Linked DNA regions of Caenorhabditis elegans. The protein of the gene in region 1 interacts with the protein of each later gene in a pairwise test. Each region holds a gene or a part of one and is shown on either strand. Other genes may lie near its edges.

Region 1 (4,902 bases):
GATTTTGTTGACTTGGTGCAACTGCCATACTACTTCCTTCAGAATGAACATCACTACGTCCACCTTCCACACCAAGCATCTGAGCGAGCTCGTTCGACGGTGGAATTGCGTATTCTGAAATGAAAATTGGTTAAAGGGTGAAATTTTAAAAAAAAAAAACTTACGATCATGTGCAGCAGCTCCTTGATTGAGTCTTGAATTCTTTTTCTCTTGAAGCTCTTTTTGTATCTTGTAAATTTTCTCAGCCAACAAATGATAATACTCTTCTCTGTCATTTGCAGATTCAAACATCTCTTTTTCGACTTTTCTGGCATAGGCTATCAAATCTTTTAACCGATTATCATTCATCGCTTCCTGATTCGGTTCCGGGAAAATCGCTTTAACCAATTTTCCGACAAGGTGATTTCTGAGATCTTTTGTGACTTGATGATGCCATTCTTTCGTACAATCTGGCATATCTGGTGGTGGCAAGTTTGGAATTTCTCCATTTCCACCAGGTGGTCTCGGTCCTCCACGATTTGGTCCGTTTTGGAATGGATTGCCATTGAATCCTTCGAATAGAGAATTTGTAATATTTCCAGTTCGCATCGCTGGCGATCCAAACTGATGAAGTCCATCACCTTCTGCGCTTCCGTTCGAATTCCCGTTGACTCCTATTAGATTTGCAAGATCGGGCACTGAAAATAATCAAATATTTAAAAAATGTTCTTGAGTAGGATAGAACGTACATGAAAATTGTAATGGAGTATCTTGTATCCTTTTGAGTGGTTTGCAGACAGGACAATCTTCCCTTGAGCAGTTTTTCCAGTGAGCTATTATTTGGCGAGACGATGCACAATGAGCGACTGAACATTTTTTTGTAGTTTGTGTGGTATCGGCTGAAAGAGATTTCAAACAGTGGCTAGAGTGAAGCGAAATTTTGGGTGGGAATAGGCGCTTCTTCTTGCGAAAATGTTCGAAACTCTTTCCAGATAGAGAAAAAGAAGCGACACGACGGGTAATATACTTACAATGACATAAACGACCAACATTGCAGCTTGTCATGTGTGTCAATACTTCTTTCATCGTTGAGCAATGGGGTAATGTACAGGCAGCATGTGGAGGTGGTTGATTCTTCGCAGCGAAATCACGATTTTCCTGTAAAAGCTGATGATGTATGAAGGAAACCAGAACATACTGTATAACATACCTTCTCACGTTGAGAACATTTGTGTGCATGAAGTAATAGAACAAGTTGTTGCTGAATAAGCTTCCGCTTCTCGGGATCTTGATGCGTTGCAAGCATGCTTGATCCAGGAGTTGTCGCCCTTCCAGCACCATTTCGTTGAGCTGCCGCCGCAGCTTCTTGCTCTCGTTGTTGCTGCTGTTGTTGTTGTGCAGCCGCCTGAGCTTGAGCTTGTGCAGCAGCTTGCTGTTGAGCAGCGTGTTGTGCTGCAGCAGCTTGTGGTCCAGGTTGACCATTTGGAGGACCGTGTGACATTCCTGGATGCCCATTGCTCATCATCATCATTTGATTCGGGCCTCGAATCGGTTGACCATTACTGTCCATCATCATCTGAAATGTAGAAGATTATTGTTATGATTCCAAGCAACTTCCAACCAATATTTGTGGAAGATTAGGGAATTATTGGAAACTTAAGTTTCAATTACACATCGATTTTGATTTGGCCAAATTCACGTCAAGCTAATAAGTGTTCCATTTTTGTTTGATCTTCAAAAATTGTCAGAATCGCACAGTTAAGATCATGCTGATCTTACCAATTTTCTAGGTTAAAAACAAAAAAAATTCCCGCATTTTTTAAAGATCAAACCAAAATGAAATAGAAATCAGGAAATAGTTTCTACTTACCCCTTGATGCATCATTGGATATCCACCGGGACGACCATATTGTTGCATAAATTCTGGTCGCTGCTGACCATATTGTCCGTGTTGCATAAACTGCCGATCAGTCATCATTGGCTGCATCATTGCTTGTTGGTTTGGAGGTATTCCAGGTCTTCCTTGTGTCGGCATTGGTCCACTTCTTGGCATTGCTCCATTCATCATAGCACCACGTCCCATGGGTTGTCCAGGAGTTGGTCCGCCCCGACTAACTCCTGGATATCCTTGAGGCATTCCCTGGGCTCCTGGTGGAGGACCACCTTGTGCGTACGGATATCGATGCATCATTCCTGGGAATTGTTGTCCTTGTGCACCCATCATCATTTGCTGTTGCTGATCTCCTTGGAACATTCCTGGTTGGCCTGGTCGCATTTGTGGTTGGCCTGGGCCTGGTGGTTGTGGACCTCCAGGACTGGGCCCCGGCACTCGACCCATAGATGGAGGTGACATCATATTCGGTGTACCATTTGGCATCATTGGACTCCTATTAAATGCATTTTGCTGTCCAGGCGGATATGCCTGCGGCCGAGGTGAATTGTTCGACGTTTGTGATGGATTCATTAGAAGTTCTTGAAGCACTGATCCATTGACACCTCCTCCCATATTCTGTGGCGGCTGCTGAGGTTGCGACTGTCCTGGTTGTAGATTGAACCCGCCATTGTTTGATGGTGCTGGTTGTGGAGTGCCTTGTGGATGAGGTGTCGAGCCAGAAGGACCACCGGATCCTCCAGCTGATGTGCTTGGATTATTGTCTACCTGAACAACAATTTTTATAAAACAGAGTGTTAATTCAAACAAAAAAACTTACATCTGTATCTTTACTAGAAGTTGGGAATGCTTCGAGACTTTCGAGAGCACTTAGCGCATCTAACCCAGAATCATAGTCTGAAAAGTTTAAAGGATCATACCGTAGCATCTTAACTTTCCTAGCAACTTACCGCTATCAGCGCGAGATTTTTTTGATGGTGGTTCATCCATCAATTAGTAGAAAAATGTATATATTTGACAAAATTCGAACCAAGTGAACTCTTTCTACTTCTCGGAACACCTGAATTGGTTGCGTCCGTCGGTTTTTGAATTCCCACGTCAACCACTACTTCATCAGAGTTCCCGCTTATTTGGGTTAGTTTGGCAAAATCACCAGATATAGCTGTTTGTTTCTGAAAAAAATGAAATGGATATATGGATTTTTGTCGGTGAACGGAGGAGGGAGGAGGAAGAGTGAGAAGAACATCGGTGAAGTAATGAGTGGAGGGTGGTTAGAGAGCGAGAGCACTTATGAAAAGAGGAGGCGAATTGAAGAGAGACAGACAGTGAGAGAGAAGGAGATGGAAAATCAATAGAATGAACGGAGGATGGTTGCACTTTTTAAAGTTTACCTGCACCATTGTATAAGTTGTTTAAGCGTGTAATAATAGAGAAGGAGCGTTTAAATGCTAAAATTGAATTAATAACATCAAATTCCAATGAATGGGTTACTGTAGCTATCATAAATTTAGAGCTTAAAATTGGATTCATAGCCAATTTTGCAAAACTTCGAAAACAAATTTTAATTAGAAACACTATAGTAATATACGGATTAACAAAAAAAAGTTGTTATGCAGTCTTGAGAGATATTTTTAAAAAATACTATGCATAATGAAGAAGGCGGGCATCTATATTGTGAAATTCGGGTATTTTTAAGCATTAAAGGTGTTTGGGACCATTAAAAACATGAATGCTCTAGATACTTACAGGTATATCTAGCTCGATCGATATTTGCTAAGCCAACCTTATGAGGCTAACTTCTCTTTCTCAGATGATCCCGTCGATTCACATGGTACTACTGACCCGATTCTGAACTGTATTTTGACTTAAAAAGTTGCAAAACATTTTCCACGTGACACGTTCAAAAGTTCATGATCGTGAAGAAGCGCAGAACACCGTTCGTCAAAATAACATGGTCAGTGGGAGAGACGACAGACAGCACGAGTCAGCCACCCACGAAGTAGTGTGTATCGGGAGAGAACGCCGACAGCGGGTGCCCCATGCTGTGGGTGTCTCGCAACGAAAACCGCGTTTCGCGAGATACGGTAGAACATTAACCGCACGCGACACGCACGCACACGAAGGAATATGCCATTTGGACAGGCTCCGTTTACAAGCATCTAATGGATCGAGATGAAAGTTTTGATTATAATTTTTGGTGTGATATTGAAGAAAATAACATTATTAACAAAGTTTGAAAGATGAGAGAACGAGAGCGAAACAGATAGATGAATGATGAGGTTGCAAAGATAAAAGTTAAATTTAATAATGAATTTGAGCTACTAGGAGCAAAATACATAGAAAATCGTAGAGCAATAGTATTTAGTAGTTGAATACTGTATATTATCACTTCGTGTAATGCCAGAGTAAGAGCCAGACTTGAAGCTCTGAAAAATCGATAACCACGATTGAGCACTTAATGGTTCAGTTTGTGAGCTCGCATTGAACTCTCATGAGCCGGCAGTGGCTTGAATAGATAGAGAATAATCGAAAGTGTAATGTTCTAAAAGGAAATTATCAAATACCACCGGAGAAGCAAAAAAACTGAGGAGGACGGAAGAGCGGCAGTTCAAAAAGTGCGAGAGGCGGGGCAATAGCCCTCCTCGTCCGACTGTCGATATCACCAAGAGAGGCGGAGCGACAGGGTGGCGGAGGGTGGTAGACTGGCAGTAGTTCTCAGTCATCCCAATAGACTTCTGAAGTTGACGACGATGAAGACTGAGATTCCGGACGACGACGCCGTGCTGCTGTCCTCAAGATTGTAATAGTGTGGCCGAGATGGGGCGGGGCCTCCGTTTCACACTCTATGCGCCCCTCTACTGCTCAGCGCTGGGCGTTCCGTCCGTTTCTCTACGCTCTCGTTTCCTTATCTTTCGGTATCGAAGGTGCAATTAAGGATCCGAATATACAGTAATTCATGATTCTTACGATAATGCGCATGATTGAACTGTTCTTAAACATAAAGTGTGGGAATAGCTAGACGTGTTGAGTAT
Region 2 (4,661 bases), on another chromosome or scaffold:
CAGAGCTTCGCAAGCTCCGCCTACTGCGCACTAGGGGCCAATGGGTGGGCACACAGTAGGAAAAACATTGAGGGGAGAGTAGCTAAAAAGGAATCTGGCGACGGGCCGATTTGACTGCGGCTCCGGCTTTACTGATGTTGGAGTAACGATGAAGCACAGATAAAAGCATAGACAAAGTTTTGGTTTGGCGGGGAGAAAACCCAGCCAAAAACATGTGATGAACTAGGGGGTGCTTCAATTTTTCAACTCGGTGAAGTTGGGCTCGAAAGATAATTATTTCTCGTGCTTCTCCCATTGCGATCTCATTTAAAACGCTACCGACTTTTTTTTTTAAGCAGATGAAAATTATATATTTTTCATGTTTTATGAACATAGTAAATATTTTGTTCTGTTACGTAATCTTGGCTAAGAGGTTCCCAAAAATCAAATATATATATATATATATATATATATATATATATATATATATATATATATATGCTTATTGAATGTATTTTCGTTCCGTAATAAAACTGTAATTTATTTTAGAAAAAACATCTTAACCATATTTTGATACTTGTGTAAAATTTGATAATGACCAACCCTGTACTATTTTTATTTTTAGGCCTAAAAATTATAATTCGATATGCAAACGAAATATTGTTTTCAAAGTTCAGATCCGCCATGAAACATTTTCAAAAAGTGTACAAAAAATCTCATTACGAAAATGGGTTTAATTTTTTAATTTAATTTAAAACGAAAATGGGTTATCTGAAATTCCTAAAAAAAACCCTTAAAAATATTTTTTGGGATAATGCTATTTTGTTATTGTATAGCTGCTATTATGAAAAATTTTTATATTTCAATTCCCTTTAGATTTCGTGATCTAGACAGTAATGTTATTTTCTGAGTTTTTGATAAATGTTTTGAACGAACATTTTTACGAACATAACAATTAATAAAATCTACTTTTCGAGTAGCTAACATAAAATGCAATTATCTCTTTAATGAAATGAAACAGACTTCATGTTATGTTTAATAATTGATTATTGGAAATTGTAATATTTGTTGTATAAATGTTCAGAAGACGATTCCTTGTCTTTGCTCCTTTGCTCCTACGCCTTCACCCATTTCAGAAAAAAAAAACTCAACACAAAAAGTGAAGCATTCTACTATCTTTCCCAAACATGGTGATATGTGGTGTGCTCGTGGGCTCCTCACTTCACTCTGTCATATATGTAAATGGTTTGAAATCCGACAAGACAGCTGCGAACTCGTATAACTGGTATGTGTGTTTGTGTGTGGGTTTGTGAGTGCTCTGCCCCGTTTTCGAAATATGCAAATATTTCTGGACTAGCAATAAGAGATATATAACCGAAACGCGCGAAACGGAGATGGCCTCTCTCTGTCCACTTGTTTCCAGTTATCAGTTTGTAGCCATCTACGCAATTTGTAACATCTCAATAGCCCAAATCTCATCATTCACCATGTACGGGATTCTAGATTCGGAAGGAATTGAGAAATTTATGTAAAAACAAAATGCTCAAATCCAAGCAGAAAAATGAAAGAAATATGGATTACAAAAACGTTTGGGAACAACAAGATGATGTACTTTTTGAATTATTTCTAAAAGTTCATCTTCAACATCAGCACCTGAATCATAACAACGTATGACGCTATAGAAATGACGTTATACTTACTAAGTTAATTGTTAATTTAAGTGTTTCAAACATAATTCTAGACTTACTAAACTCATCGCCAATAAAGCTCAAGAATGTATCGCAAGCCATGAACACCTTACAATTTCCCCTTTGGGAATGAAATCCCGCTAACGTCATCAAAAAAAAAGGAGTTGGGTCTCTTCTATTTCAAAAGTGTCGTCCTAGAAGTTCTATCTTACCTTTGAAGGTCCGCAAAGACACCAGAATTGCTGAAAAGCAAGGATTCCAAGGTTTGAGTATTCATCAGATAATAATATTAACGCTCACCAAGCAATACTAATAAGAGTGGCTGTTATGGACAAAAAAGAAGGATGATAGTGGCTATCAATTCCGAGGGTGGGTTGTTAGGCAACGAGCCCGAGTACGGCTAATTGAAGCAAAGTCAAAAGAGAATATACAACTGTTGAGTTTGAGGATAGACGGAAAATATTATGAGCGAAGAGATATTTAGCTTGTGATAGCTAGTATACAGCTATTGTCATAGATTCGTTAGAATGACTAAAACTTTAGCCAATAGTGCATTGAGAATGAGGAGGCTTTCAAACATAATAATGAGGTATGAATCACCTTAAAGATACACATTTTGGTATTCAGGAATATGGTATCAAAATGTTTTTAGAAAATAGACAGGTTTAGAAAAGATGCTTACAAGGTGTATTTTTGTGATTTAGGGGGCTCATTCCTAGTTAAGAAATAGTTGTATATCTATGTAGTTGTATATTATAATTTCCAGATTATTTAACCCATTGAATGATATGTTTAGTATGAAGTATGCTTGGAAATAATATTAACCTAAGCTCAAAAATTGAACAAATTTCTTTGTAATGGTTATTAATGAATAACCTAGATATGATGGCATATAATACACAAACACCTAATCCTACAGGGTGGTCCATAATTATGGACTTGTTTTTGAAATTGTGTACCAAACGTAATAAATTTGAATTAACTTCTAGTAGAACCTCTTCGACTTTTACTAAGACAAATTTAATTAAGGAGTTACGTCTGAACGGTATCAAACCCAAAAATAAATAAATTTTATTTTAACAACTTCCAGTATTCCGGAGCCTCAGATCAGTACAGCTCCCATACCAGATTCTCTTTATTTATTTATTAAGATTCTGCTCAATTTTCCAGCATCAAGTTTTTCAAGGCAGCCTAAAAAGCCATGTAAAACAACTTACGGTTGAATGTGAAGATTTAATACAGGATTATAAGGTTCATCATAGAAGTTCATCTGGCCAGCTCTTAGCGGAGCTGTCAAACTCATGCCACAGTTTTCGGATCAAGTGGGAGGCAACAACACCAGCTACACAACCGACTCTGCAAAAGATTAATCTCTTATATGTCACAAGCGGTTTGGGTCCGACGGCCTCCCGTCCAAGTACGCCTGATAGATGCAACAAGGAGAGGAATAACGGAGCGAGTGTGAGGATTGAGCCAGCTGACTGTGAATTATGGTTATGGAGATATGCCTGATTAGCCGGAAGGCACGGCGCGAAACTTTGAAAATCTCTACAGCAAAAAAATGGGGGGGCAGCTGGGGGAAGATTGTTCGCACCCCTTTCACGTTCAAGCCTGGTGTGGTGGCTCACCAAAAATATTACAGAAAATAGTTGTATGACACACAGAAAAGTCAAGTGAAGGATTTCATCAATCATCCTAGAAAGCATAGCATACCACGCCTTGGTCCTCTTTTGTGCATACTTCTTCACAATCTTCAACAATTGAGACGTGAGAGGTCAGACAGACAACACTGAAGAAGGCAACACAAAAAAAACGGAAGAAGCACAAAAAAATAAAGAGATGGGAGAGGATGAGAGGATAGCGAAGAAAATTGATGGAGATTCGTGTGTCCTATTGCAGATTACGGTATCTGGAATCAAGAATGTAGAGTGTTTGGCTATTTGTGACCATCTTCTTTTAGGAACAAGCCAGGAGCCAGCATTTGAAGTCGTGCAAGTGAAGTGTAATATTGCTCATAGTTATCAACTTGGCGAAGTTATCACAATTGCTTTGATAAAACATTTATATACACAGAATATTGTTCTCAAGTCGGTATTTTTCTTTTCACTAAAGCAACGATGTTTCAGATCTACCGTAGTTGCTAAGATGTTTCCAGGTGTGAGTGAGTGCGCAAAGTTCGTTTTCAGGGATGCTGGAATTATCAAAAATATTTATCATGGTGTTGAATTGAAGCTGAAATATTATTATATAAGTTGTGTTATATTGGGTTTTATTTTATTTGTAGTTTCGGAACGCGAGGTCTTGTAGCCACTTGAATGCATAAGGTTTTTCTGCAATTAAAGTAGGTATTCAGTTGTGTTGTTCCAACTTCAAAAAAAAGTTGCACTGTTGTAAACTGGACCCCATAATTATGAACCACCCCGTTTGTATAAAGAATATTGTTTATGCACGTGGTGCCAGGCTGTCCCATCACGGTTTGATCTACAAAAAATGCGGGAATTTTTCTCCCAAAAAAAAATGTGACGTCAGCACATTTTTAACCATGAGAAATCAGTTGAGAACTCTGCGTCTCTTCTCCCGCATTTTTTGTAGATCTACGCAGATCAAACCGAAATAAGACACTCTGACACCACGTGTTTGTACAGTTTTCCAGTATTTGCAGTTTGTAATACAAATATTAAATACAATAACATAGCTTTAGATTTGTTGCATTCATTTGAAATTTTTTCTGATAATGGTGGGGAAATTAATTCTTCCCTTTTAAAAATGCTTGACAGAAATATTTTAATACACAGCTTCAATCGGCAGACTAAACTTAAAGAGCAGGTTTACGACAGCGTTGTTTTTTTTTTCTCGTCCTTCTATTTTTCGACATCGGAACGTCTTGTACCATCCAGCACTTATTTCACAATGTCAACTCACTTTACATATCAACGCTCACGAAACAAAATTTTACGACTGAAACGCTGAAACGACTGAACTGTGTGCTTGTAA

What was found. Proteins that work in one complex are often made in the same cells at the same time.
Region 2: the proteins of cbp-1 (region 1) and unc-3 interact in a two-hybrid assay, tested with the Caenorhabditis elegans proteins (one study listed by BioGRID).

What each region holds. Positions count from the first base shown.
Region 1 is NC_003281.10:9,764,656-9,769,557, reverse strand, and holds the start of cbp-1 (Protein cbp-1), read right to left. Parts: upstream 3,049-4,902; 5' UTR 2,861-3,048; coding exon 2,821-2,860; intron 2,768-2,820; coding exon 2,691-2,767; intron 2,639-2,690; coding exon 1,850-2,638; intron 1,556-1,849; coding exon 1,190-1,555; intron 1,138-1,189; coding exon 1,011-1,137; intron 879-1,010; coding exon 729-878; intron 678-728; coding exon 165-677; intron 115-164; coding exon 1-114. UniProt on the Caenorhabditis elegans protein: Acetyltransferase enzyme. Acetylates histones, giving a specific tag for transcriptional activation. May prevent DNA damage-induced apoptosis by inhibiting cep-1-dependent transcription activation of the programmed cell death activator egl-1.
Region 2 is NC_003284.9:14,771,900-14,776,560, reverse strand, and holds the start of unc-3 (Transcription factor unc-3), read right to left. Parts: upstream 3,024-4,661; 5' UTR 2,971-3,023; coding exon 2,885-2,970; intron 1-2,884. UniProt on the Caenorhabditis elegans protein: Transcription factor. Involved in motor neuron fate determination and maintenance, acting as an activator of gene expression in a subset of motor neurons. May act in concert with GFI1 homolog pag-3 in motor neuron fate determination.